Linked DNA regions of Bombyx mori. Each later gene encodes a partner of the first gene's protein in a complex. Links are inferred from orthologs where the notes say so. Each region holds a gene or a part of one and is shown on either strand. Other genes may lie near its edges. The genes, in order: DNA-directed RNA polymerases I and III subunit RPAC1; Znrd1; DNA-directed RNA polymerases I, II, and III subunit RPABC4.

The links.
Region 2: DNA-directed RNA polymerases I and III subunit RPAC1 (region 1) and Znrd1 share a complex: the UniProt entries of both Homo sapiens proteins name them as parts of the pol I pre-initiation complex. The link is inferred for Bombyx mori from reciprocal best matches to the Homo sapiens genes POLR1C and POLR1H.
Region 3: DNA-directed RNA polymerases I and III subunit RPAC1 (region 1) and DNA-directed RNA polymerases I, II, and III subunit RPABC4 share a complex: the UniProt entries of both Homo sapiens proteins name them as parts of the pol I pre-initiation complex. The link is inferred for Bombyx mori from reciprocal best matches to the Homo sapiens genes POLR1C and POLR2K.

The regions. Positions count from the first base shown.
Region 1 is NC_085131.1:5,575,609-5,586,327, forward strand, and holds DNA-directed RNA polymerases I and III subunit RPAC1, read left to right. Parts: upstream 1-4,674; 5' UTR 4,675-5,272; coding exon 5,273-5,326; intron 5,327-5,405; coding exon 5,406-5,706; intron 5,707-6,087; coding exon 6,088-6,207; intron 6,208-6,679; coding exon 6,680-6,862; intron 6,863-6,958; coding exon 6,959-7,186; intron 7,187-7,831; coding exon 7,832-7,944; 3' UTR 7,945-7,959; downstream 7,960-10,719. UniProt on the Homo sapiens protein: DNA-dependent RNA polymerase catalyzes the transcription of DNA into RNA using the four ribonucleoside triphosphates as substrates.
Region 2 is NC_085112.1:11,749,125-11,758,940, reverse strand, and holds Znrd1 (transcription-associated zinc ribbon protein), read right to left. Parts: upstream 5,142-9,816; 5' UTR 5,141-5,141; coding exon of another isoform or gene 5,136-5,140; coding exon 5,009-5,135; intron 4,785-5,008; coding exon 4,574-4,784; intron 4,316-4,573; coding exon 4,291-4,315; 3' UTR 4,000-4,290; downstream 1-3,999. Other genes in the region: chromobox protein homolog 1, read left to right, coding at 8,794-8,851, 8,954-9,128, 9,496-9,670. UniProt on the Homo sapiens protein: Core component of RNA polymerase I (Pol I), a DNA-dependent RNA polymerase which synthesizes ribosomal RNA precursors using the four ribonucleoside triphosphates as substrates. Can mediate Pol I proofreading of the nascent RNA transcript.
Region 3 is NC_085111.1:12,246,152-12,256,757, reverse strand, and holds DNA-directed RNA polymerases I, II, and III subunit RPABC4, read right to left. Parts: upstream 6,126-10,606; 5' UTR 5,933-6,125; coding exon 5,869-5,932; intron 5,220-5,868; coding exon 5,127-5,219; intron 4,461-5,126; coding exon 4,438-4,460; 3' UTR 4,288-4,437; downstream 1-4,287. Other genes in the region: uncharacterized protein LOC101737452, read left to right, coding at 1-411; uncharacterized protein LOC119628526, read right to left, coding at 7,429-8,097; ARL14 effector protein-like, read left to right, coding at 9,449-9,528, 9,635-9,778, 10,485-10,566; nucleoside diphosphate kinase 7, read right to left, coding at 10,597-10,606. UniProt on the Homo sapiens protein: DNA-dependent RNA polymerase catalyzes the transcription of DNA into RNA using the four ribonucleoside triphosphates as substrates.

The DNA.
Region 1 (10,719 bases):
GAAAATGAACAATATACTAATTCAATTAATTAAATATACAAAGGAAATGAATTAGAAACACATAATTATATCAATACAGTAGTAACCACTCTATGTCAATATTATGGTATATATGGTATTGAGTGGTTACATTTTTTTTTTGTCAGGAGGAAATCACCGGATTTCCGCCCTCCACTAGGGATGGGGGGCGGGGCATGTCGGAGTCGAACCGACTAAAACCTCCTGTCGCTCAACAACCAGCATCCAAACCTCGCATGAGACAGAACTCATGAAAAGGCAAAGGGGGGAAAGTGAAGCGTTTAGTGCGGAGCACATCTCTCCCATCACCCTCCCCCTCGGGAAGCCGGACTGGCGGTCGTCGGCGCCACGACCACCAGCCCTTTCGGTCGGCGAGTGGTTACCTATTCACAATGTAAATGCTACCACCCATCGTGAGAAATAGGGCCGTAGCTTGCATTGACAACGGCGGTGCCACCCTTCGAATTGGAGCTCATGATTGTTTCACGACAAGTGTAATATGTATATCAGGATCATGGCATCCAGGTTTGCGAGCATACGTACATACTCTTGCTAGTATCAGTAAATCGGTGCTGGTTAGCGATCGCACATTTCTGACATAATCACAGAATGTCGCTGCCTTTAGCAATTCGCTCAGGTGAAGCCCGTGAATTCACTTGGCGCGAAATTGGAATAGCCCCTGACGCTACCAACGATTAGGTAAGGAAAAATTAAGTTGCAGACGTTCCCTGATTTATGTAATTTCATACATATGATTATATGTATATTATAATATATTCACCAGGGAGATATATATTTAATACCTTGCAGCGTTTTACGGTGAGATAGGCAATGGCGTGAGGATGTCTACCTCGTGTGCCTATATTCCACGTTTCAGCAACACATTTATGTATATTTTATCGTAATTACATTACGTAATTAATGTAAGATTATTTACGGTTGATTTGATTCACATAATGGAATTAGTAAAGTCAACAGATGGCATTAGGCATAATTAAAACTACTTTTACTTAAATAGTAAAAGTATCGTGCGGTTTTTTTTCTGAAACGAAAACAACCCGAAAATCCCCGATCGTCATCATCTCAAAATATAACTAGTTACAGTGGAACCGGCTCAACTGTTCTTGTCATTACATCAAAGAAATTACAGATAAATTTGGCAACATACCGTTCATTCATACTACCTGAAGCCATTGCGTTCATCCACAGTGCGTTTCCAGATAGGTATCTTTTTGGCCACGTATCATCCGGCTTTGGAATGAGCTCCCCTCCACGGTATTTCCCAAGCACTATGACATATCTTTCTTCAAACGAGGCTTGTGGAGAGTAGATGCTTAACGGTAGACAACGTTTTGGCTTTGTCCCTGGCATTGCTGAAGTTCATGGGCGACGGTAACCACTCACCATCTGGTGTGCCGTACGCTCGTCTGCCTGCTAGGGCAATAAATAAAAATAAAGCATATTTAGACATGCGGCCATTTAAATCATTTTAAGGATCACATCAGAAATTAAGCCAGTCGGTATAGTTAAGTGTAGCATGTCTTTACAGGATCCTACGTCTGTAAACAGGACGGTGACGTGACAAACATATTGCTCAAGTTTTTAAGCATAGAACCTATACGTAAGTGTCTAAACCAGAGTTCCCCAAACTTTTTTGTGTCGTAAACCCCTTGCCATGTTTTTCCGTGTTGGGTAGACCCCCTACTTACCTGATATTGATTTCCTGTAAATTTCTAACTGTATTAAAGTTTAGTGTTAAAAACTTAAAGTAAAATCACATGTTAATTTATACATTTATTAATTGAATTTAAATTAAAACTACTCAAAATAAAATTTTGTATCTGTTATATAAAATATACGTAACATAAAATAAACTATAAATAAAATAACATAAGCAATAAATCAATATTTTTAGTGAGAAGGATGAACGTGATGCTTTAATAATAAATTATCAACATTTGGCGTCAATTTTAAAAGGGTTAATCTTAAATCTCGTCGGCTAATGATGTCTTGATAGTAGTCTAAGATAGTATGATGTAAGTAAATAGGTACTAGCAGTGTATGTGTTGAGATCCACTATCGTGGACCCCCAAATTTTTTTTCGCTGACGTAGACTCCTTGCAGGTTGTCATAGACCCCTAGGGGTCGATATAGACCTAAAGGAATCATCAGAAGGCTACTTTGAAAAAGCGGCGTGACACGATAACCGTCTTATCTTGGCCGCCGCTAATTACATATCCGATCCAAGCGACGGAGAAACACAAAGCCGCTGTCACCCGAAACATGTCTAGTCGGATCCCCCGGATTCACCATTGAGTTTCTCGCCGGATCTTCTCAGTGGGTCGCAATTCCGATCCGGCGGTAGATTCTGCGAAGCACTGCTCTTGCTAGTAGCCCTAGCAAGAGAGTGATAACAAGTTCTCTCAGGATGAGCCCGTGAGCTCACCTACCCTTCCGGGAGGAACTGGAATAGCCCCTTAGACTACCAGTGAATACGTTGGCGGGGAAAAATCACAGGCAAGAAGCAAATTAAGCAAGCAAGTTAAGACTCGCTAAAGAAAACACGTCTATTTTTTTAAGCAATGCAATTAACTTATTGCCGCCATTGTAGCTGTTTTCAACTCTATAAAAATATTAAATAATTTTTATATTTTTAATTCTTTAATACTTAGGTACACATTCAGGCATTCACACACGTGCTTTATGAAAAAATATATGGATCGGAATGAAGTAAATTGGATTTATTTGAGATTGTAATCAATTGGGATAAAAATAAATGAAACAAGATGGAATGGAATGAAAAAAGTGTCTGTAAAATGGGGATTACTTACTAAGAATTCGGTGGACTTTTTGGAAGAGCCCGAGAAGCCACGTCCAGCGAATTAGTCTCATCTTTGCAGATGCTAAACATTAAGAATACTAACTACTCTTATTATACGCTTAAACTTGAAGAAACACCAATATAAAAAATTCAAACTATTCACACAACTTCGCTCTTTGCATTCCCACCAAAAAGTCTCTATTAAATTAAGCCATGTCCCATACCATATTTTCTTGTTAATAAGTCACCGTTAATAGTTGTTAAAGCCTAAGAAAACACTAAATTAACAAAACAAATAATTCACACTTCCCTCCTCGTTCCTCACATTCTTGTCAACAAGTCGTCTTAAAGTTAATAATGTTAGCGTTTCTTAAGTAAATAAAAAAATAATAATAATAATGATTTCTTTTTGTTTCCTTTTGTTGGAGTTTACTCCTTTAGAATCGATTTACATATATAGGCCCGGGGTATGAAAATTATGGGGACCAAAATCGTACTAGCATGTCACACGAAATGCGTTATGCGCCTGATTGGCTCCTGATTGCGTGATGCGTGCGCGCGCCAATCAGGAGCCAACGCGCGGCCGCGTTATCGCAGGTGACGCCGGGCTGCTGCGCCGGCAGTCCGCCACAAAGCCTCGTACTGATCGCGCGTTTCTCTCATTATTGTATTTTCATATATTTGTTAGTCGTTTGTTTTGTGTCTCGTTAATTTGTTAATAATCTGTAGTGTATCGTGTTGTCGTAATATAGAACTATTTCTCGTATTGTTTCGTTTAATTTTTTATATCCAGTAAACTCCAGTCGTGCGTCGGAGCGGACACACACACTTTTTTCATTTCTTTCTGTTTCGATTTACATAAAACAGACACGACTTCACTTACTGTAACAAAAATTAGGATTGTATGGTCTTTGATCCTTTTGCCCAGCGAGTTGTCAATTCAAACAAGTAAAAACCTCTATTTATTTTCCAATACGGTACGGTACCGTACCGTAAAATGGGGCGATTAGGGACAAATTCCAACTTTATGAGCAATTTTAAGGTAGTTGTTGATGTATATAATGCTATATCAGGATCAAAATGATTGAGTCTTGGGGGCATCTTTGTTGTCTAATTTAAAATTATGCAACTAGCATTCCAGTTTAAGCAAAAAATGCAAAAATAGGTGTAATCTCTATTTACCCGAAAATTGCGGTTAATTGGGATGTAATGAGAAATTTGCTAGGGTTGGCACTATTTTTATTTTTATATATAGTTTTAATTTATTTATTTATTTAGTTGCACCAACAAAGTGATCATCAATAAAAAAAAATGAAAAACTGACAAAAGTACATGGCAGACATCACCTCAATTATAGGTGCAATCGACAGTGCTGATATTTCTATCTGGGTTAAGAGATTAGGTGTGTCGGTTATTCCATGGATTAATCAGATGAATACCCCCACTCTGAACAAATATTAAATATTTTATTATGTATTACTTAGACATTTTTGTCCACCTTGAGATTTCATTGATCTTGTTACATGTCTCTGCAAAATCGACTTACTTATATTAAATTGCTTATCTATTTCAAATAAAGACTTATTCCCAATTTCGCTTCGAATAAACCAGATATTTACCAACAAATTCAAAAAATATTGTTATAACTACATAGACAACCCTACAAACCTGTACCTATTTATACTTAGGTCGTTTCCATTTCACGTATTCTCATCCCAATTGACCCCTTTTTCGTTGTTATTTGTACCTAAGACGTCCCCAATAACCCCAAAAACAACAGATTTTTACATGTATTTTTATTTAATCAAATACATTAAAAGCAATAACAACTGAGACTTACCTTTAATATATATGCTGGTTCAAACACTAAATAACGTTTATAAATCATAGTCGTCTTCTATTATTATCAAATAAATAAAAGAGAGCAAAGTTTCTAGCACTAAAATAATGACCACCACAGGAAGTTAATTTGAAACGCGATTTTTTATAAGTTAGCAGCTATTATCATGCATATTCAGAGTTGTTTTGTGAACTTTCAACATTCTACTATTAAACTACAAAAAATGGAAGATTTTGCAACGAATATAAAACTTATATTGAGCGTCGAAAGATTTTCCCGGTTTTTTCCCGATTCGCCTGTCAATCCCTAATCGCCCCATTTTACCGGTACCGTACCTATGTACCTACATAAGTACAAACTTACATTACTTACTACATAGTCAAAGTTTAAATTACCTACTAAAAATTACTTAAAATCACTACTTAAGTGTATAATCTATGATCACTACCTTACGTAAAATCATCGAAATATTTAATTTTGTCAATTATATCTGTATAAAAATATGCGACAAACTTTATATACAGTAAACGTTACTGTATACCTGTGAAATAAGATAAAACCTTATTTACATTAATTAGTAAAATATTGCAAAAATGCCTAAATTCGATGAAAAACCCCGAGTTTTTCTTGAAGAATTCCGTGTTAAGGTTCTCCTTTAAATTGCAAGACTTATTTACAACGATAAAAATGCACATGATCATAACCTAATAATTTTTGCCCGTACAGAATGCACCCGAAGATTACGGATTAGACGATGAAACATGGGACTTCAAAAAGTTTGTGAAGAAGTTTAAGATAGTTGTAGTACGAATGGACAATTTCGAAATGGAATTTGACTTGATTGGGATCCAGCCAGCATTTGCGAACGCATTCCGGAGACTCATGTTAAGTGAAGTTCCTAGTATGGCTATTGAAAAAGTAATGATCAAGAACAACACTTCTATAATACAGGATGAAGTTTTAGCACACAGATTAGGATTGATTCCTCTCAAAGCTGATCCAAGATTGTTTGAATATAAATCTGAAGGTTTGTGTACAAATTATTACAAAGCCGAGACCATATGTGGGCATTCGTTTTGGAAGATGATTGTTTTCTGTGAAATTGGTTGTCTAATTATTTTTTATTTATCAATTACGTAAACTAGTACACTAATAAAACCACAAATATTCATTTTTCTAGTATCCTAAAATTGACAATTTAGAGCTGGAATGCAAGATGTTATTAAATACTCACTTTTATACCTCAATAAACATTTATATCTCATAATCAGTAAAGTTTTCACAGCCTAAAGGATAAGATGCCTGGTCCATTTTTATTATTGTAACTATGATGAAATAAAAAAAGTTAACAGAAAATAAAAGAATTGTTTGAGCAGCTCTTGTAAATAATTTGAAATTTTATTTTCAGAAGACACGGAAGGAACAGAATTCAACACTTTAGAATTTTCACTAAAAGTAAAATGTACCAATAGCAAGTCACAACCAAAAGATTCATATAGAGCTGAAGATTTGTATGAAAATCATAGTAGTGAGTTTTCTGTATATCAATATAATAATGTGTAACAAACAGCCTATTAATGTTTTTAATATAACAGTAGATCGCAGATCAGCATATGGCCCTGGTATTAAGCTTGCTGCAGTGCATAGATATAGGTGATTCACTCACATTAAGATATGGGATTGAAGTTTCCATTCCATAGCAAAACAGCTATCCTTACAAACTGGATTCCTTTGCAGTAGAAATGGACAAGATAAATTATGACTACCAATACCAAACTTATAGAATGTTACTGCCATTTTCTGGTAAATTTTTTAGCCACCTGTAACAACACCATGGTAAGATATAGAGTGGTATTGTTGTATGCTGATAGGACAGAACACAGAGCTGATTTTTTGAACTATGGACTAATCTATGAAATTTATATTTATAGTTTTTTTATATAATGCTAGATGATTTTGTTATTCTTAATACTTAGTTAATTACAAATATGTTTATACAGTTTATTCATCCCATATGAAGTGGCATCCAATTGGCAACCAAGCTACAGTTTATAAAGAAGCTGATGTGGGTCCTGTACATAAGGATATTCTTATATCAAAAATGAGACCTGGCCATGAAATAGACCTTCAAATGATTGCCGTGAAGGGCATAGGAAAGGATCATGCAAAATTTTCACCTGTTGGTTAGTCCCTTCTTATGAATATTTTATAAAATGAGATAAGCTTATTTTAATTATTAAAAAAAATGGTTTAACTAACATATCCATTTTATTCTACAGCAACAGCTACATACAGATTGCTGCCAGAGGTAACACTGACTCGTGAAGTTTGTGACAGTGAAGCCACACTGTTGCAGAGTTGTTTCTCACCAGGTGTTATTGGTATTGACTCTAAAAACCGAGCATATGTGAAAGATGCAAGATATGATGCATGTAGTCGTAATGTTTATAGATATGACACAATCAAAGATTCAGCAATCCTAAGTAGAGTTCGGGATCATTTCATATGTAAGTAGCCATATGTAAATTAATGAAATCATAAAAATGCCACAAATAATTACATGTGCAACAGTTTTTTTGCTATCAATGCTGGTTACCTCAAGGGGGTCTAGCTTCACCTAACGTGTAGGTAAGCTTACAGGCTCAGTCTGGCGAATTTGCTAACACTAGCCCTAGCAAGGGCAGTGCTTCTCAGAATCTACCACTGGATCGGAATCGCGACCCAGTGAGATGATCTGGTGAGAAACTAAGTGGGCTGTGTCTAAGGTTTAATTTACAAACCCAAAAATCTAAAAAAGTAAAAAAAGCAAAGGCTTATGTTTTCAGAAGTGTTTATATTTGTATCTATGTTGTACATAGGTGTTCCTACACTACTCATCTGATTTCAATGAATTTGACAAGTGACAAATCAATTCCTTATTATGATACAGATAACATAGGCCACATTGGAAATTATTGAAATTAATATGTTACATCCAAAAAACGATATTTGCCTCCAAGACAGATAGATAGACATTCAATATATATATTATATGAATGTTTTTTATTTAACAAAGATTAACATGTATCTAGGTATATAGGCTATTTTATATATTGCACATTGGTGTGTTATAATTTAATGAAGCTGACTAATGATTTTGTTTTATCTTTCAGTTAATGTGGAATCAGTTGGAGCAATTCCACCTCAGATAATTTTTGTAGAGGCAGTAAAAATTTTAAGAGATAAATGTAGATCTTTTTTGGATGAATTAAATAAATTTAGTTAAACTGGTCTTAAATAATGTTTTTGTTGCCCTTTTAAATATTTTCTAGTTAATCTTGCCAAAGAAAGTATGCATTTATAGTCATGATCGAACGTACAATGTAACTTTGAATTTCATTGCATTTACAATTTAAAGAAATTCGTTCATTTGTTTTGCTAAAAAATAATGGCTATCATACAGTAAATAATCAACTTAAAATAAATTTTATATTTGCATTAAATTCGGTTTTGGTTTTTGATTTTTTTAATCACATTAGGAATTGTAGTTTTGTAAAGAAGCTATTTTAATATTTCACTTTGTAGTAGTAGTAGCAGCAAGTTATTGTACTTTCATTAAAGTATCATAACTGCATTTTTTTTTATTATTTGTCTAATCGGATTTACTAAAATTCGTAAATAGTGTATTATAAATCTGCGGCCAAACCATACGTACGAAGGCAAGTAGTGTTATATGAATAGCAATTTTTATATTTATGGTAAAACAGCATGGATGAAAATATACTGGTGGTGAAATTTACTGGTTTACTGGCAGGACCTCTTATGAGTCCGCACGGGTAGGTACCACCACTCTGCCTATTTCTACCGTGAAGCAGTAATGCGTTTCGGTTTGAAGGGTGGGTCAGCCGTTGTAACTATACTGAGACCTTAGAACTTATATCTCAAGGTGGGTGGCGCATTTTCCCTATAGATGACTATGGGCTCCAATAATCACTTAACAACCAGGTGGGCGTCGAAAGAACTAATAAGTAAAAAGGCTCTGCTTAAAAACCACCTGTCTATCGCGAAAAAAATAATGCTGTTGTTCCATTATAACTTTTTTTGAAGACTATGTTCAGGACTGCTGTTTAAAAAGTTGTTCCAGAATGAACTACAGTGAAGTGCACAGTTGAGGGAAAATTAAAAGAAATAGCAGGCCGTGACATCTCGGGTTCTCCCAAAAAGTCTATAGAACTCTCAATAAATTTTGAATCATTTTAATGAGAGGTTATTGCACTTTACCTCGTCCAACACACGGTGCTATCTCACGTTATTTAATTCCATTTCATTTTTTAAAATAGACATGACTTCAATAATTGTTGCAAAAGACTTAATTGTATGAGCTATGTTCCCTTTGCTTGTTCAATGGACGAATAATACAAAAAAAAATGCTATGAAAATATTTACCTACATTTTGGGAAATGTACTCAAAAAAATTGTTGTTTTATTGAATTTTAACTGATTTCTTACGATAATGGGTAGCCTTGACAGAGCAATCCTAACTGGGTTCATATGTCGACTATGTTCTGAAATGCACCGCATTGTGATACATATATATGGTGAAGAAGGCATACGACTATGTATTTCAGAAAAAATCAGTCGATATCTCACCATAAACGTAAGTACTGTATTTTTTTCTCACAAGGGTGAAATAATAAAAACTAATTACGGTAACTGCACAATAAAAATCAAAATTACAGATTTCTCGAGCCGACCCACTCCCAAAAACCATTTGCAAAAATTGTTTGGAAAGACTTGAAAAACAACACAAACTGGTAATGGTGATGGAAAACGCAGCCAACATGTTAAAAGGGCGTAAAACAAGGGCTGCCAAAAGTGAAACAAAGCAGTAATTTATTGATAATTGAAATTGTAACTTAATACATGCAGTATCTAACAATTCATAAGGATTGTCATTAGGTATATGTTTCAAGGACTACGAAATTACTAATGTACTCGTAAATATGTTTACATCGTAGGTAACTTCTGTGCTGATGTAGCTAAAGTAAATTATAAGAAGGTTCATATTCTGTTTTGTTATTATCTAACATTTAAAGAAATTTGGAGTATGTTTGAGAAAACAAATGGTTTCATTTATACATGAAAAGTGATAATATTCATAAGAATATTATTAAACTTCTTTGTTACACATACATAAGTATGCTGTGTTTTAAAATAATTTATTTTAAGTATTAGTATTAGCTATATAAATTAATTTGTAATTATCACAAATTGGTGTGTTTGTTTTTGGGAACGATTTCTCATTAATTTAAGGATGATGTTGCTCCCCCAGCTGAAATGTTAAGAATAAAGTATCTCAATATGAACTCAATATCTCTCACCCTTTTTTTATCACTACATAGATAAGTGAACAAGCTTAAAGCTCATCTGGTATTATTAAGTGGTTACTGGAGATACATTGAGGTTGACAATCGTTGTGGAATAATGGTTATCCTACTCTTGAAACTACAAACCATATAGGCCTTGTAGCAGAAGTATCTGACTGATGGACTATTTATGTTCTTTTACTTATTTTGTTATTTCCCTATGTAGGCAGATCATGGCCCACCTGGTGGGTAGTGACTACCTGACCCCATAGACAACACAGCACGAATGCTGCCATTCCCAACGTGGTTGTGAATGATAGTTGATCACAGGCTGGATCTATTCTGTTTCATTTTAAACTTTTTATTACTGTTGAAGGCAATCTACCGAAGTTATAAGTAGGATGGATTTGACGGTTGTTTATAGATAATAGGGGTTAAAGTATGAAATTGCCGTTTTATTGTAATAGGCACTTGAGATTTTTGATTGAAACTTTTATCAAATGGTACCTATGAGGTTCGTCTTTTAAAAAATGCGCAACATTCTATTATCGGCTTTCAGCTGTTTTTTTTATTCAGCTTAGACAAGAAAAATGGATACTTCGAAAATTCGAGTGATTTTTGAATACGAATTCTGACGCAGAACTAACGCTGCAGAAACAGCTCGCAATGTCAATGTTGCGTTTGGAGAGGGGACT
Region 2 (9,816 bases), on another chromosome or scaffold:
TCTCTCTCTTTCTCCCTCTCTATATTAAGCTTGACGTTATTTATGTTGTAAACTCAAACTCGTTTAAAAATATAACTAATAGAAACGTGTGTGAACAAAGTATGTGGAACGCGTCAATTGATTCGTTCGCGTTCCAGCTCAATCGGTTTTTTTTTTTCTTAAACTAAAACGCGCATAGTAAATTACAAGTAAAAGTATCATTAATACCTTTTATTTACACGTTACACTGACCCACTTGAATACGAGGCGTATTTAAAACACGTCTTATAAGTATTTTAAAACGTATCGAATTGCCGGAAAAAGTTACCCGTATCGATTAGTAACGAATTACAGAATTTCGCACCGAAATCAAACATAGCCGCGGCTTGACGCGAATATAAAAAAAAGTAAAAAAAAAAAACTCACCGCCTTTATTTACTATTACGAACTTAAGTCCCCGGCACAAGTCCACAGAACACAATCCCGAATTAGAACAACGGATTAGGGTTGCGCCACGCACGTGTCGATGGATGTGGAATTAGTTGGATCGCCGATATTGACGTGCTGTCGGAACAACGGCCGCGGGAGACTGGCGCGCCGTCGCGTCTGGTTGGCACCTGCACTACCGTAGCTAGTGACGGTCACTTGTCGATGTTATCGATAAATAAATTACCTATATTACTTCATTTTAGATTCATATCAGGCCTAGATAGATAAATAAATATCCTTACAAGTAGTTACGTGTGTTGTGAGACCGTATGGGTACCACCTCCTATTTCTGCTCTGGAGTAGTAATGCGTTTCGGTCTGAAGGGCGGGGCAGCCGTTGTATGTACTATGTATAAAACATAGACTTAGAACTCTAGACTAGGTGGCATTTACGTTGTTGTTATCTATGAACTCGGGCAATCACTTTACACCAGGTGAGCCATGAGCTCGTCTACCCATCTAAGCAATAAATAAGCAAACATGGATTTTGGAAATTTGTTCTACCATTCAATTGGGTTTCATTCAGATTCAAAAATCAAGCAAAAAATATGGCTGTACTTTTTTTTCCTACCGAATCTGATAGCCTTGAGAGGCTTCGCAGAATCTACCACCGGATCGGAAACGCGACCCACTGAGAAGATCCGACGAGAAACTCAGTGGGCTGTGTCTGAGGGCTAAGGGCTGTACTATTTCATGTTTAAACTAATAGTACACCCTATGGACTCAACGATCAATAAATGCATAAAGAGGTACCTACTTAAGGTTTTACGTCACGAAGCCATATTTTTAATTCGAGGAATCGAGTCGCCTCTTTAAGCGGTTTCCCTACTGTTTTTGGTATCAAACGCTGAGGTATTTTATGGGCAAACGAGCTAACTACCGTTTGTGTTAAATGTTTACCGTAGCTAACAGATATCACAAATGTTAATACCTCATCCTAAGTCTTATGGTCGACATCAAAATCGTGTATTAATTACGTAAACTATAAATTTTCATCAGATTTCATTATTACTACACGATTTTAGTCACACAGATTTTAATTATGAAACAATTTTAATGTAACAGAGATTATTTACGACGTTTTACCTATTATTATGCATAAGATCATTCTCTATATATCATGCAGGTTTTTTTAATCCCGAACATTTGACGAAAATAACGCAACGATTATTGATAAATTGGTAAACTTATTTGATTAATTGGTAAACCTAAAAATCTTATTTAGGTTTTGTATTTTAATTTTATAGTTGCTCTTAGTCTGGCGAGGCTTTGTTCGCGCTGCAGGAGTCGCCACGGGCGGCAGGACGCGGCAAGCTCTGAATGACAGGGGAAAGCAAACTCATTTATCTGCCGCGTGTAGGTTTGATCTTGACAGCTGAAACACGATCCGAGCCCGCAGTGATTGGCGAGATTCATGTTCGATACCGGCCGGTAAAGCCAGTTTGTTGTCGCTGGAAGACCGCATAAAGGTCTGTTAACGATTATATCGAACTGTGTTTTATAAAATCAATTGCTTTTTTTATAATAGTTAAAATTACTTTAATCTCCGCGGCAACTCTTAGTCGTCCGTGACCATGAAATATTTAAAGTATTATAAACGTCGAAAATAATTTTATGAGAAAAAAAAGAACGCGATGCTAAACTGTAGAAGTATTTTTAATTGTGTCTACCATGAACATACTTTCATATTAATTTCGATAATATAAGTTCATCGACTGTGTCCATCACTAATCCGTTCGTACGCAACGTACATCGAATGATCAAATTAATTACCGCCTCATCTCGGCTCGGACCAGCTCTCAGCCGAAAAACCAAGCTGACCCTTCCGTCAGTATTAAAAAAAAACAGTTGAAACATATACCTATCCTTTTCTGGCACGTTAAAAAAGACTTCGTTCGTCGGAAGGTAGCGTGTATTGAATGTGAAAAGTAGGTTTCACCTGCGGCTTGTGAATGAACTGTTGTTGCGCGGCATCGTTTGATGTGTGAAACAAACGTTTGACAATTGACAGTAAGTACTCTAGAAATAGGCTAAGACAGCGGCTCTCAACCGTCACGACAGCCTAGATTGTTTATAATAAAAATTGTATTTCGTAGATAGCTGCCGGTTTGATCACGCAAACCTCATTTTAATTTATTTGTTAAATATTGTAGTTTAGGCATAATTTATTGGCATAATTTATTAATGAGATATATATTTTGTTAGGCATTTTTTTGTTAGCTTTGTCTTTTTTTTTTTTTTTTATTGCCTTTGTAGGCAGACGAGCATACGGCCCACCTGATGGTAAGTGGTCACCGTCGCTCATGGACGTCAGCAATGCCAGGGGCAGAGCCAAGCCGCTGCCTACCATTAAAATGTCTATTTTAAAAGTTTATTATCTCGAATGGTATTTTGGTCTATTTAATAATTAACTACATTTTATTTGTAGCGCGTTCAAAATCACATAGCATTATTTTCTCTTGTGACAAAACATTGTAATTTGTTTATGAAAAGTCTCACAATTTAAGGAAACAATATTTTAAGTTTTTGCTGTTCAAAACCATTACTGGCTAAATTGTTTTTTTTTAATATAAGTTGTTCTTAGTTGGACGTGAGAATAATATTGTAAGGCAAAACAAACACATGCAAGATATTACTACCGCCGTATGAATTGTATGCCTTTGGAAGTGTCGATTCGTTACTATTAATAGTCTTAGATTACTAGCAGATTATTATGACTGTGCTTTAAGACCACTTGGAAAATTGTTCAAATCACTACCAAAATCTAGATTTGACGAGCATAAAATTTGAGAACCAATGTGCTAAAGGAAAATGTAATAATGATAAGTTTCTCACTCAAAGTTGGAATTTCTATGTAATGACATATTATATGAATATTGTTTTGCCTTGAGTAAACCTCAGGTGCTCAGCAATTGACACGGCACTGTTATTACTTGAGAATGTGTAAGTGATCTAAAACAACCACATCATAGCTTCTGCCCACATTTCTAGAGCAAAATCTCATTTTAAAACATCATTCACAACGGACACTGTTGCCAATACTACGATTATTTTTCTTCATTGTATGGTTACGCTAGCTCACAGCCCACTTGATGTTGTTGTGGTCTATAGGATACGATGCCGGTTTACAAGTATCAAGCGATTGTGCTGGTGTTAGTATCAAGGGATAAGGCCTTAGGAGGCAGGTAAAAATTTTCCTTAATAAATATGTATGTATTACAGAATCCAGTGACTTCTACTATGGAAGATTAGCAGTGTGTACTTTTGTTATACAGGCATATTATGCTTACTGTAGGAAACTAATATGGCCGAGCTTGTTCTACATAGAATTATTTCTGAGTAGTGTATTATAAGTTTATCAAAAATTGTCAAATGTAAATCTTCTACACTAAGATCCAAATAAACTTGTTGCATAAAACTCTTCAATATTGCTATGGTTTTAGAAACATGGAAATAAAACCTTTTGAAAAAGAAACTTTCATTGAACTTATTATTTAAAAATAGAAATGTATTTCTCAGCATAAAAAAAACATTTGGACAAATGTTTATAATTTCAATTATTCAGATTTGATTCTATTACATGTAATTTTTAAAACATGGTTTTTAAGATTAATCAGTATAGAATTTACAGTTTAAAAGTTATCATTCCAAGAAATGGAATTAAAATTACGCACCAGTTACATGGTGATTAATTTTAATCCTTATTAAATTTACCTAATTTAAAACAATCAGTAAAACTGATTTTTGCATAAAGTGATTCTGATACAATGATTCTATTGCCGAGTTTTCCTTTGACAACCTTAAAACTAGTATAAAGCAGCCTTTAGGAGTTTTCAGTTTCCTTGTATCTGAAAATAAATAATACTTTACGATATTATCTTGTACGATGTGTTCTTTTTTAAATTAGGAAATAATTTTATTTTTGAGATAGTAGTTGCTTACAAGATCATTATTATGTCCAGTTTTATATTACCAAGGAAATTTGGCCACAAGTTGCAATTATTTTCCTGTCTTAGGCTAGTGGTAGGGTCCAATTTTATTTAATACAAGTACAGATATTGATGACTTGCTCATCGAAATACAAATAAATATTGTAATTTACATACTTGCACTTTATACATGTGTAGAAAACTGTTTGTCCTTCATCGGCCGATCGTAACTGTAGAGTTGCATATGACATTCTGTCGTAACCGCATTTAGCGCATTTTCTCTCCACAACTGGACCCTCAGGACCATCAGTATGTAGTATATTCTCATTTGTGATCACAGATATAGTATTGAAATGTATTGTGTATTGAAATTTCATTTTACTATAATCTGTAAAAAAAGAATTTCTGAATAAAACATTTTTTTAAGTTTTTATTTTATATTTCGAAAACAAATACAACAGGTTCTTTCTGGATTTCATAAGTATCACTAAAGTTTTTTTATTTATTATAAATTTAATAGTGAATATTCGAAAATTATACAAAAGCATAACGCTGAAAAATCGTATCCCGTTTATATGAAAGTAATTTTTTCATTGGCAACTATATACTTACTATCAGCCTCATAATGTGCTTTACAAGTGTAGCATTTCACGGAGCCAAACTCTTGTAGCAAGGGTAATATGGACCCACAGCGAGCACAAAACGCTGTACTAGTTGATAACGGGCTTTCAGTGGACATTATTTCTAAAAGTAAACACAATTATCACTAAAAGGGTTGTGTATTTTTGTTTAGAATATTAGGTTATTTTAAATCTTTATCTATTAGTACTAAACATAACCAAAATATATTTTTAAACCAATATGAAGCATACTATATATTTTTGTGAAGGGTTTTAGACAGTTTTAGTGTATACATACCCTAAGTATTTGCTATACAAAAACCTATTTTTTTTTTACTATAATGATAAATTCATTACTTACGTACAATTTTTTTTAACTGTTTGACAATTGACAAAGGAAACATAGCCCATACTGATAGTATTAGATCACTTGTAACTAAAATTTGAAAAGATGAAGTTCAGTAACTGTTTCTTTTTCTTACCTAAGCTCATAGCCTTGAGAGGCTATGTTAGCGTCACCTAACAAGTAGGTGAGCTCACGGGACTCAAACCTGATGACGTTGCTAACGCTAACCCTAGCAAGAGCAGTGCTTCTCTGAATCTACCAGCGGATCGGAATCGCGACCTACTGAGAAGATCCGGCCAGAAACTCAGTGGGTTGTGTCTGTGGGTTAATTTACTCGCCGAGCCCTTTGTCGCAAGCGACGGTTTCGACGAGAACGATGACTGGTGATTTGAAGTGCTTAAAAGCACCGTTAGTGGATCGGGAGGATACGAAATGACGTGCTGTAATTAAAATAATGAAGATTGCACTTCTACGTTTTAGTTTTGGTGGACTTTTTGTCTCTCTACCACAGTCTGTGACAATGCCTACAGAACTACAGAACGCTCCCAGTAGCTGTAGATATAACCACTACAGTCTACTACAGCTCATTTTTAGCTCTTGCTCTTTACACTATTACTAACTCCACTCTATAAACGAAATTATAAACGCAATTCTTCAATAGTGGATCTCTAAAATCAGTCATCTTCATTGTTTCTCATATATAGATTAGTAGGTATTTAGGAAATATGTTGACAACTGTCGTCGTTGCGGATTAAACTCAAACTGCAGTATAGGAAGCATTTATTTATTCCACACGCACCTTAAAATCGTATACATTAACAATCAATTGATTTTTATCTTTGAACCTTTTAAAAACGTAAAACACATTTTTTTATATCATGACATTTTTCCCTCAAACTGACAGCCTGTCTTTTGAAGTGAAAACTTCTTTAGAATCGTTGTGATTTCAAACCGGATGCAACGGATAAAACGACAGGTAAGAGACACAAATACAAAAATGTGTAGGATGAAGCCAGCAAAGAATGAGACAGAAATATACATACTATTTAATACAGCGCCATCTGTGAGATTTTTTAATACTAACGCGTGTATGAAAGTTCTTGTAGTGAATTTTAATTTAGGATTATACGTGAAATTAAAATAACAATTCACAGAGGGCGCTACCTTACAATTATTTACTAATGACAAAATTTTACATATACCTAGTCAGGTCATAAGTATTGTCACACAGTAAAAACTTTTCTTTTAAAATGCTGGCCACAAAAAAAGTTTATTGAATTCGAATTTCGAATTGTTCATGAAAATAAAAATGTATACTTTTAGAATTTTACTCATTTTTAAATATAGAGTGGACGCTTAAAGAAGACCATGTTGCAGGTATTGCGTTGCATCGTTGCGGTTACGCGCCAATTCAAATTTTTAACATACTGAAAATTTTGAATATAACCAAAAGATTCGTTTATCGTACCATCAAACGATACAATGAAGACTCTAGTGTAGATGACAGGTCAAGAAGTGGTCGCCCTCGGTCTGTTAGGACTCCAGCAGTGATAAAAGCTGTGAAGGCGCGAATTCAAAGAAATCCCAAACGTAAGCAGAAACTGTTGGCCCTTCAGATGGGGTTAAGCAGAACCAGGGTGAAAAGGGTGTTAAATGAAGATTTAGGGCTTCGGGCATATCGAAGAAAAACAGGACATCGTTTGAATGCTCGTCTAATGGACCTGAGACTGAAGAGATGCCGCGCTTTGTTGAAGCGGTACGCGGGAAAAAAATATCGGGAAATTCTTTTTTCGGATGAAAAAATTTTTACCGTAGAAAAGAGCTACAACAAACAAAATGATAAGGTGTACGCAGCGTACATAGTGAAGAAGCGAGCAACCGTATTCCGCGTGTCCAACGAGGTTATTTTCCATCCTCGCTCATGGTATGGTTGGGAGTTTCTTATTGGGGCTTAACAGAGATACATTTTTGTGAGAAAGGTGTAAAAACCAATGCAGTTGTGTATCAAAATACATTCCTGACGAACCTTGTGGAACCTGTTTCTCATACCATGTTCAATAACAGGCACTGGGTATTCCAACAAGATTCGGCGCCAGCTCATAGAGTAAAGAGCACACAAGACTGGCTGGCGGCGCGTGAAATCGACTTCATCCGGCACGAAGACTGGCCCTCCTCCAGTCCAGATTTGAATCCGTTAGATTACAAGATATGGCGACACTTGGAGGAAAAGGTGTGCTCAAAGCCTCATCCCAATTTGGAGTCACTCAAGACATCCTTGATTAATGCAGCCGCCGATATTGACATGGACCTCGTTCGTGCTGCGATAGACGACTGGCCGCGCAGATCGAAGGCCTGTATTCAAAATCACGGAGGTCATTTTGAATAAACTTTAGTGTCATAAGAATCTATGTTTTGTTAAGTTCATTTTGGTATATGAATGATTACATAATGAATAAACTTGTTTCAATTATTTTACATTAAACATGTGACAGAATTTATGACCTGACTAGGTATTTATGACGTTTAGGATAATTGTATTTTAATTTTGGAAGGTTTCACTTCTACCACGTGTGAATTGCACACATGTATTTTTTTTATTTTCTTCGGGATCTCTCCCGTTGTTAGTCTGTGTGTGAAAAAACCATTCACCACAGGTATTCTATAAAATAAATATGTGAAATTATGAAATTCACTATAAATAAATACAATAAACACAGCCTAAAAGACGAAATGCCCAATGATTTTAAATTTTTTTAATTGATGTTTGGGTTTCAAAATCCGAGATTTCATTGTCATAGTACTTATAGTAATGAAATTGTCCGTTAGTACATTTAGGTAGAAAGACTTCAAACTGCTTATGTTGGAAACTTAACTTGGAAAAAGTCGAAGGAGGGAAGAACGATAGATGAGAGTATCTAACAGATGGGGAGATAGAATAAAAATGTCAAAGACTTTTATAAAACTGTATTGAGATAATAATTTCAATTCTACATTTATGTAAAAGAGGATTTTATTAAAGGGGGTTTCTAGATGAAGGATCAGGAGCCTTTTTGCACGGAAGTTGTGTGCATTGTTTTATTTGGTACTTCCTCAGGTTGAAACTTATTATAACAGTTGCTTATTAAACGTTCAATATTTGTAAAAATAAAACAAAACCACTGGACGTGTCTACTTGCGTTCTTCCATGAGCTCCATAGAATTCAATAAAATTGCTCTAATAAACTAAGAGCTTACTTCATTTCATTTCACCCAATACCTGCAGTGCTATCTAATGTCCCTCACTCAGTCCTATTAATTTATTTCTAAATTTAGTTTTATTTTACTTTTTATTCCATACGGATGATTTTGGTTATTTCTTATAAAATTATGACTGTATAGCCGAAGTACTCATTGCCTTTCTAGTGGACGAATTATTCGAACAACAATGTCAAATGCCAAATTATGAAAATTTGAGTCCGCTGTGCAATTCTAGGCTTCGAAAACTTATTGGTACCTACTTTTTTTCTATTGTGGAACACGCTTTACCATTAATTTAGACATTTATCTCATAACTAATGGATGAATCACTAGAAGCAGAGCTATCGTTCGCAGAAAATGCTCAACCGGCACAACCCATGGAGACTAGTCAGACGGACAACACTTTAGCTCAACCTGGAACTGTTGTTCCCGGCGGGAAACCAGAAGAATTTTCTGTGGAGAAAATACTTGACAGAAGGGTTAAAAACGGGAAAGTCGAATATCTGTTAAAGTGGAAAGGGTACTCTAAGTAAGTTCCTACGTTAGGTACCTACACAATGTTTGTAAACATGCTTTGACAATAGGTACTAGCGGATTTTTTACCTTTCTAGAATGCTACCCACATACTGTTCAATTATTTTGAGCTTTACGCATGTCTGGAAATTAGATTTCTAATGCATTTCGAATTTTCTCTATCAATAGCAATATATCTCAGCAATAGTTTCAATTCTGTCTGAAACACTGTTCTTAACTTTAAGAAATCCACATTTTCTCACATGAATATTCAGGTAGTGTTAAGTTTTTTTCATTTGAACATTAATTATTTCTTTCACCTACAGAAATCAACAATTTGCAGCTAAAATAATTCTTAAAGATGCTTACATAAATAATTTCAGTGAAGACAACACTTGGGAACCAGAAGACAACCTTGACTGTCCTGAGCTGATATCAGCATATGAAGAAGCAAGAATGAAAAAAGAGAGAGAAGCTGCGCAAGTTGTACCTGATATATCAGAAGAAAACTTAGCAACCAGGAAAAGATCTAAAAGAGGATCCAAAAAGAAAATTGAGGTGAAGTAAATTGTAAAATATTCAACAGCTTAATGTAATGTCATTGAATGTTTTGCATTTTTCTACTTTGTCGCTATCTCATAAAATAACTTTCTTAATATGCTTAAAGAATACTTCATGATTTTCAGTTTATTAAACCAATCTGT
Region 3 (10,606 bases), on another chromosome or scaffold:
AATATAGCGTTCCGAATTCATGGACATCTTGCTAAACACTTAAGAAGTAAAATGCATGTTATGCGTTTAGAGTGTTTGTTTAAATTACCTTTTGGTACATTCACCGAGATTGAACGCGCCGGTGTTAGTTTGACAGATATAGACACAACAGATTGTGATAGTTCGCTGGCTAGCTTGCAATTGCTCGCAAGGAAGCTTCACGAAAAAGATCCAACAAAATTGGAATATCGAGATCCTAACGGTCTAACAATAGTAGAACTACCTGCAGGCAGGGAACTGTCGGAAGACGAAGATAACACACCCGCCGATAACGCATGTGTTAGTGAAAAAAACAGTAATGGAAAAACAAGTGAAGGTAATGAAGATCAAGAAATGGAAACACGTGTTAACTGTAGTGCCACAGATATTTAGTGCCAAAATTATATTACGTACATAGTGTATTTTAATGTGCAGTTTTATTTTGTTTTTAATTTAAGTGTAATTATTAAAGCTGGGGTTACTCAGATTCGTGTGAAAACAATTGTACGCTTTAAGATTGTAACATACTCTAACATTAAAAATTCGAAAAATATTAATATGTATCTTGTAAATATCTCCACGTAATATTAAATTTGTTAAATTTGCTTTTAATGTAAGTCTTATTATGTATTAATACTGTTATTTGTAATTTCTACAGAGATAATATTTGTTGAATTGTATTTGAAAACGAAGACCTAGATGGGATATATTATTGCGACAGAAAAAAAAGAGGTCCACATTTTTTAAACTACGCTTAAATATCAGTCAAACATATTACATTGTCATAGGAGTAGTCGGATGATATATAGAATAGAACAGCACTTTTGTATGAATTTTTGTATGACATATTTACCACTTCATATTTATACTATGTAACTACTACTTCCATAAATTTAAAACAATTGGCATATCAACTTCCATACACTAAACGTAGATATGAATAAAAAACAAAAATGTCTTCCATAAAAATGTACGGAAATAAATTGAATTTAGTTTCTTTAAAGTTATAATCAATTTGTATACATGTTTAAGCTGGGCTCTCCGATTTAAAAAAATTATATTAATAGTAGTATAGTTTTGATTCCTACTATTATGCATTACTATTATTCATTTAATTTTTATAGTCCAATGTAAAAATAATTATTAGTGTGAATGATCAATGATCTGCATGTTTTGTCTTTTTTGTAAGGGATAGGTTACAGAGCCTAGTTTTTTATATATAATGTACTGTTATTTGAAAAGTATATATATATTCATTGTTAAACTATTTTTCTAGAAATTAAGCTTTATGGCGCTAATATGAAATTAAGCTTCATTGAAGCTGCAGACCACAAGCTGTTCGAAAATATCACTATTAATAATACCAATCAAATCAAATTCAAATTTTTAAAATATATGATATCATCATTATGTTTCTTTATTGTAGTATATATATGTCTTATATTGTTATATAATATATTGTATAAACTATTTTAATAACGATGTAGATTTACAATAACATTTTTACAATATTTTCGAACTGGGTTGCTGCACTGCGCCTTATACTACTATTGTACTATACCATATTGGAATATCAATTTTCAAAAACAAACTACTTAGTTATTTTTGTAAATATCTTGTGTCTGATCATATCACGGGACTGTCATAATTATTAAGGTACAAAATGTATTTAAGTACCACCATAATAAATAACTATCTATTAAAATATATATGTACATAATCGATAAAAACCTAAATCTACCATTATGATCAAGAAGCTTATAGCAACAGAAAGGCATCGACGCTAATCAATGATTTATAATTATAGGCTCCTAATTCTAAAACTTATACAAAAAATCTGCTATACGTTTTAATTGAAAAAACTGTTGAAATAGACATTCAAGCGGAAACGATAAATCGTATCAGTCTCGAGAGGCGACATAAAGTGCGGTAAATAAAAAAATAAATATTTTAAACAAAATAACATGCATACTTAAATAATTCACATCTACAAATAATGTTTCTAATATTAATCCAATTCCGGATTGGCATGAAAGAAAAATGATAATATTCAATATAATTTCAATTGAATGCCTATTTACTGGTATTGTCATTATTCACATTATTTTAAATCATACATGATCCATCCTTTCATCTCTCATTACAGACGGGACTCTATCAATTTTACTTGCCCTTGTTTACCATTACTTATAAGATCAAACCGTTTACAATTTAAATAACAAAATCAAAATTCGATATGTTACTCAAAAATGTGATCCGACGTTATAATTCTCGCACTATCCAATAAAATTGTTTCCAATTCTTTGCTATTCCATTGTTGTGCGAGCGGCTCTTTTTCCATTTAAGCCAGTGTGCTTAGTGCGAGTTTTTTTAACGTTCTCGATAGCGTAAAAGTTAGGTCATATTTGTATGGAATGGGATCGCTTGCGTACGTTTGCCGCTAGGGGCGGTTCCAATTGCATACAAAATTGGCTTAACTTTTACGTTATCGAGAACGTTCAGAAGCTCGCACTAAGCACACAGGTGGCCTGTAAGCGGTCTTATCTACAATAATAAGTTGTTCTAACTGATTAAATCCATCTAATAAAATTTCAATGGTTCGGTACTAAACGTTTCATATTAAACGTCCCCAAGCTAGGGTTTTCCCCTTTGTTATAATGGGTGCTTGAAAGTTAAACATGACAAATGTATGTACATTTAGTCCTCGAATGCCAAATGTTTTTAATGAAGAAGCTGACTTCGAATTTAAAGAGGACTCTGTGATACAATAGGTAGCTAAAGTCAACTCTACTAATTCAGCAAAGCCATAAATACATATTTAAATGCGTATTTTACAGAATACAAATAGCTCATTTCCATATTAGTTTTTCAATGAAATTATCTCCTCTGTTAGCCACTAGTATGATTTTAAATAAATACATAATTATTATTTTCAAAACACTTGCGAATAGAAATATAAGCTTTTTAAAGATAATCATTTAGTTATTTCAAGTTTAAAATGATTTTTAATTGATATTTTTCTATGTAATTTTTATATTTCAACTACCGATAAATTGAAATTTATTACGTCATCTGTATAGTTCTCTAATTGGGACATAATATAAATTCGAGACAGAACATGTAAAGTTACTTGATCATAAACTGTCATGATTTTGTATTTTGTTTCCAAGAATGTTATTTGTATGTGCTATAAACTTTTTGATTATGATTAGTGAGTTGGTAACTATAGAATGGAATTAAATCTCTTTATTCAAATTTTCTTTATGCATGTGTATACCCATAGCATGTTTATATTCACTATTATATAACGTAAGCAAAAAGTTGACTTAGAGGAATGTGTGAAAAATTAAATTTGATATTAATGTCGTGAGTCCTAACAATTATTTATTGATAGTTTTTATGGATCGAAAAAAAATGTATATTTGTGGCTATTGTAAAATTTTAGACATACATTTTCTGGTGTTTTATTATGAGAGGTAATAATTTTAATAAATTGTTAAAACTTTATAATGATGAAGTTACATAATTAAAATACACTGAGATATTTCCCTTTTGTTTTTTTTATTAGTTGTTATTATTTAACGGAAGTTTTACGAAAGTACTCCATATTGACACTTTGCGTCTGGCGCCACTAGCGGTGTCGTGTGCAAAACTGGCCAACGGTCACACGTAAATGCCGCCACCCATGTTTACGATTAAAGGAATAACATCGTGTAATGAAAATCAAACCCGCAAAATTATAATTTGCGTAATTACTGGTGGTAGGACCTCTTGTGAGACCGCGCGGGTAGGTACCACCGCCCTGCTTATTTCTGCCGTGAAGCAGTAATGCGTTTCGGTTTGAAGGGTGAAGCAGCCGTTGTAATTATACTTGAGACCTTAGAACTTTATCTCAAGGTGGGTGGCGCATTTACGTTGTAGATGTCTATGGGCTCCAGTAACCACTTAACACCTGGTGGGCTGTGAGCTCATTCACCCATCGAAGCAATAAAAAAAAAAGATAATGAACTCATTTGATATCTATCTATAAAGTTACATATTTTTCTTGCACTTAAGTCTTTTTTTTTTAAGGCAGTAGTTCATTTAGAAACATCAAATAAGTTGATTGATACTTCAAATCATTCAGATTACTTATATCTATTGGGTACAATTTAGAACACATATATCATGGCGGTAGGTGGCATTCATGTTTTAATGTCTATGGGCTACCACCAGTATATAATGTAAAGTGATGATGTAGATCTATAAATCTACTATAAAAAAACTACCTTGTATATATTTTTTTTCATTGGTCAGTATTATTAGAGCATAGACAAAGTAACAAAAATACACATTAACCTTATTATAAATTTATTTCACTCTTCTGTGCATGATGTATCCACCGAACTTATCTTCTAGGGTTTTGTTTCCAGAATTCGTTTACCGAGCGTCAAACACAACCACTGAATTCTTACTTAAGGAAAATTTTTCAGAATATTACGAACAAAAATATGATGAATTTAAAATCAACACAAACTACAAAAAGGGTAATTTTCTGAAGATTTTAACAGATATGAGTCGTCTATTATCAAAGGTGGCAATCTGTACATTTGGACAATTTTTTTTTATTGATATGTCAATACAGATTTATTTGAATATAATCGTCTCCTTCAAAGAATACGGTTCAAAACCTGCATTAAATAAAGGTTAATAGTTAACCTGTTATTTATCTAAGATGTCGTTCCGAAGAGTTTTGTGACTGCCAATGGAATACAAAGTCAATAATTCGTTTTTCTGATTTACCAATCATTGTCCAAAAGTCAGATTGCCGCCTTTGATAATAGTCGACTCATTTATTACATTTATTTTCTTGCAAGCTCAATGTGATCTAAAGGATAAAACAGATGGTGTAGTTGTGTCAAGCTGTGCAACCATGCAAATGTGCAAATTGCATATACCAATATCCAAAGAAATATACTCTCGAAATGTGATCACGAATCACTTCCACAATGAAGGAATTAAATATGGGTGATACCTGTCAATACCTTTCTACTGATTAAAATCACTAGGCTGTATCCTAGTCCTATAATCTTTACTTTAAGAATATATTTATAGAATCAAAAGGATACGTCTTTTTGTTCTTTTCTTGTACATTATTCTGTAACCACATTCTCTGCACCTAATAGGATCTCTTGGTTTGATTTCATTCTCTTTGTGACATTCTGAAAATGATAATGAAAGCATCATTTGTTTTGCAGACCCATATTATAGTTTCAGGATTGCATTTATTAAAGAAACCAACATTTAAACAGTTGAAGTAGATGATCGGCAAAAACAATAATGTAGAAAAGGGCAAACAATATAATTTACTCTCAATTGAATCAATTTCATTTTTCTAATACTTTTAAGTTTAGGTTTTTTAAATTTTAATATTAATATTAACAAGTTTTATTAAAAGCACTTAAGCTTTTACGGCTTTTAGCTTTACTAAAGAACATTTATATTTATACAGATGCATTCCCCATTTGAAATATAGTAAAACAATAACACATTAAACAAAACGCCTTAATTTATACAATGTTATAAGACAGTGTGAATAATTTTATAATCTACTATACACAAAAGACAAATTAACTGATTTATTAATTCTTTGTTTAGTAGACATTGACAAGCTTAGTGTTATCGGTAAGAACATTTTAAAAGTAGTTTCTTTCTTTTTTCTATAAAAAATGTTCATAAATCAAGAGAAAAAGAAATACAAAAAAAATATTCAATTATTGGGGTATGCTGATACCTAACAATTATTAGGTTATTTTGTGTTAGTGTTTTACAAAGTGATAGAAGTTTTGTTATTATTTGGTTACACTGTACCTCCACAAACATATATCATTGGCACTTTAGTAACTGATTGCTCTTTCCCAGTTGTGTCAGCCATTATGTGCTAAAATAGAGAAAAATTAAATAATAATAAAAAATGTGTTTTATTTTAAATCACCAATTTGATTTAAGCTTTATATTAAGTGTATAATCTATGCTTTGGATTGTTATTTTGTGTGTAGAATCTATGGTTTTTGGATTTGTTTAATTAAGCCGCAAAGGGAACTTAAACCATAAAACGTTTTGTTCAAAAGAGGGCTTGTCTTGTTGAAGAAAAAAATACGTAAAAAAAGGAGTGGAAATTTAAAAGAAAAAATCATCGGGACATTGGAGGGGAACCGAGGATTATTTTTAATTATTTGTTCGTCGTTTGATCGTCAATGTTTGAATGTAAAATTATCTGTTCGTCTTTTATTTATTTATAATTAATTAAACAAATGATCACCCTTCAGTTGGCCCCTCTTACTAGATATCTTTGTTTTTATTGCTCAGATTAATTAATTTTGATCAATTATTGTTTGTTCGACGACTATTGGTGATTGTTCGATCATAAAAACAAGTAAATTCGAAATTATTAATTATTTTATATCTAATAAGCAAATTATCACCTCACGCCTACATTGCGCATGCGCCGGTTTTGTCAGTCAGATGGCAATGGCCGACGGCCGTATTTACTACCTTTTTGTTACGCGCGAACATTAACGAACAAACGACGAACAAATAATTAAAAATTAAAAAAATCGAAAATTAAAAAAGGGGACCAAATTCAGTGAGCCGTAAAGCAAATAAATGGCATATTTTTTTACATTTTATTTATGGATTGAGTTAGCTAATCTGTGCATTAAGCTCCCAAACATAGAAAAACAGACTTTTTGGCGGGAACGCGAGGAGTGATATTGTGTGATTTGTTATATTTTGTCTATTTAGTGTTTCTTCGGGTTTAAATGTGTAATAATGGTGGTTTATTAGCAGTTTAATATCTGTGAAAGTGCACAAATGTGGGAAAATGGAACAAAGCCGCTGGACGTAACTTCTCGGGATCCTCCAAAAAGTCCACTGAAAAATCTTAGTAAATGACCACCATTTTACTGAGATTATATTTCATCCCATATTTTCTCATTTCATTTCGTTTTCATTTCATTTCATGCCATGTTTCACAATAATCAACTTCATTTCATTTAATAATATCATTTTTCATATAAAAAAGTTATCATTAAAATTAAAATAAGACTTGACCTAAAGGTCTTAGTTACCAGGTCATAAAATCCCTTAAAAAAACAAACATAGTAAACAAAGAAATAAATATTTTTTCATTTTTTTCCCTACCTGCACCTGCCTATTCGCTTAATACTCGGCAAACTTCTTGAGCATTAGTTGACGTAGTGGGGGTAAGTTCGCGCATCGTACAATTACGTACAAAAATGTTAAGTTATTAAAAACAACATAATATGTATTTATTTATATATTTATTAGTACATGAACAAAAAATACAGGTTAATAATTGTAGTAATTTAATCTAGGGGTAAAATAGATATTCCTTCCATTAGGTCAAAACTAGGAGCTGGTGCCAGGTCTTGGATCAGCTGAAGCTGAGCTGGTATTTTTAATTGTTTTTTCGCTATCATAATCATGACCATCATCATCATCATCACTACTTTCTTCATCCGTGTCGCAATCATCGTCAGCAAAAATTACAAACTCATCAGTGACTAAATCTACCACATGATCACTTTTTACATACTCCGCCTCAATATCTTTTATCTTTTGACATATTCTACCCCATTCCGGAGCACCCATCACCGCGACCTTTTCCTTCACTAGCTCTATTACTTTGCCAGTGCTCCAGTCGACATTTTTGCTACTGACATACCCTTTAATAGCTGCCCAAGCCATTTCAATTGGGTTGAGGTCTGGATGGTATGGAGGTAAGCGAAGCACTGAATGGTTGTGGTTTGATAAAATTTTATCAATGCTGTATGTTTTGTGTTGTTCCTTATGTGCTTTAATCAAGCTAAAAAGCTGGGGTTTCAACATGTTTTCATCGTATGGAATTTCTTTTTCTTGTAACCATTTCTTCATATAGACTTTTTTGGCATTGGCAGTTGGAGCGGGGTCAGACTGTTTATAGTGATATGACGCATTGTTGACTACTACAACGGAATTTGGTGGCAGATTTGGTAGCAATTGACAACGCAGCCATTTTTCGTAGTTCAAATAGTTCATGTTATCGTGGTAGTCACCAGATTTTGTGCCAGCTTTAAACAAAAGAAGGGCATTGGGAACAAATCCATCTTCGGAGCCAGCATGCACTATTACTACACGCTGTCCTTTCGAAATTGGTTTTTTTAAACCCCCAGTTGATCCATCTGACCACGACATACCACTTGCATGTGATGAGTCGACATAGGACTCATCGGTGTACACTATCGGTCTTCCTTCTTGCCTATATTTAATTATTTTTTGGAGATATTCGATCCTTAGTAGTCGAATATTACTTTTTTCAATTAATAGCTTCCGATTATTTTCTGTTCTTTTCCATCTGAAGCCTAGCTCTTTCATAATTCGTCGTAAACTTCGTTCCGAGCCATTAAAATTTATATCTTCTTTCAATTTTTTACGAAGTCTTTCGACGGTAGGAAGTTCGCTGTTTGTTATGTGATAATTATGAATACATCTTTTTATTGCAGATTGGTCGAAACTATCAATTCCGGTAACTTTCTTCTTCCCTGATCTTTTTTTACCTGGAGTACGAAACACGGCGAGCAAGTTAGAGCCCTTCGCTTCATTAATAATACGCCTAACAGTACTGACTGATGTTTTTGTTGCCTCTGAAGTCTCTTTTACCGTTTCCATATCATTATTTCCCTGCTTTTTAAGAAAGCAATATACGTCGTACACCATTTTTCTAGCTTGTCTTTTTAATACTACACCAGTTTGACGTGGCATAGTATATTTTTTATAAAAAATCAAGAAACACTCAACAAATAGCAATAACAACAAAATCAACAAACAATAATAATTATAACAAATAACTTCAACGATTAATATTAATAGACTTTTCACTGTACGCAAGCGTACTTTTGGGAGCAAGCGGAACGAGTCTCAAATATATTAAGTGTATAATCTATGGGAACGAGGGCGCGGTGCGGGACGCAAGGTTCGACTGATCTACCAACAACGCGCTCGATACGATTTCCCCTGCCGTCGCGCCTCACCCTCACCACCAAAGTGATCTAAAATTCGGTTCTGCGCAGTCAAGGTCATTTGCTCACAAAGTTTACCGCATAGAGTAAGATTATATATTGTTTACCGGTTACAGCTGGCTATTTCAGCTTCTCAGTACTTCTCACCGACGGGTAGGTGAGCTCACCTCACTAGCTAAACCTGAGAGAATTTGCTAACACTAGGCCTAACAAAAATAGTCGCAGAATTCGCAGAATCTTCCACCGGATAAATATATAATAATAAATAATAATAATAATAAATTAAATATCGTTTGTATTCGGGTAATAACGCGCGGAAGAGAATATTTTTTTAATATTATTTTGTGTTTGTAGCATGTACTTTTTAAAAGATGCGTTTCTTAGATAATTTTGATCCTAAAAATTCAGCTCGTGAACGTAGAAAAGCAAACAGGAAAAAATATTTCACTTCGTAAGTTGAAACAATTTCTATTCTATTGAATCCGTTCAAGTCTGAATTTGTAATATATATAAATATATTTTCATCAATTTAATAGTCAATATTTCTAATGTTGCAGTCGAAAAGTGAAGAGAATTTATGATGACCACGGTCATATTGCTGAAACTGGCAAAGACTTGTGTGATTGCCTCGATGAGAAGTGTCCCGGATGCCATTTTCCATGTGCAAACTGCAATTCCAATAAATGTGGCCATGAGTGCAGGTATAAACAATATATTAATTTTAAACAATAATTAATCTTTCAAAATAATCATGGATATCAGATAGAGATAAATGCTGTGGTACAACACTTATTACTGGTTGTAGGACGTCTTAGAAGTCCACACGGGAAGGTACCACCACCCTGCCTATTTCTGCTGTGAAGCAGTAGGTAATGCGTTTTGGTTTGAAGGGTATGACAGCTTTTGTACTGTTAAAAGTGAGACCTTAGAACTCATGTCTCAAGGTGGGTGACGGCATTTACATTATAGATGCATCAGATGGGCTGTGAGCTCGACCACCTATCTAAGCAATCAAAACTTTTTTTTTTAAAGCCCTTATTCTCCTGTAAAATTTATTAAATTGCATAATTATGAGCAGTGACACATACAGTGGACTTGTTAGGTAAGATTGTTACCATTTTAGCAATTTGTCATGAAACAATTATGAGTATCCCTTTGAAGTATAAGACAACTGCTATTACAACACTTTGATCTTATGAGTTAAGGTGGTATGTAGATAGCCCAAGTTTTTAATGACGGCAAATGCACAAATTTCGTGATCTCATCTCAGTTACTCCTTTAGCAATTAAAAAAATTAACTTACTTATCTTTTAATAAATCAAAGGTGTATTTCACTGAACATTTATCTTTATTTAAAATAGTAATTCATAATTATACACATAATTCTAAGATTAAATTCTTTTTCAGAATTAACAGAAAATGGATGTATGACAAAATTGAAATAGAAGGAAATGATTTTGTTGTAAAAAATGATTACAAAAACAAGTAACTGGAAATATAATATTATAATAAAACATATTTAATCATTA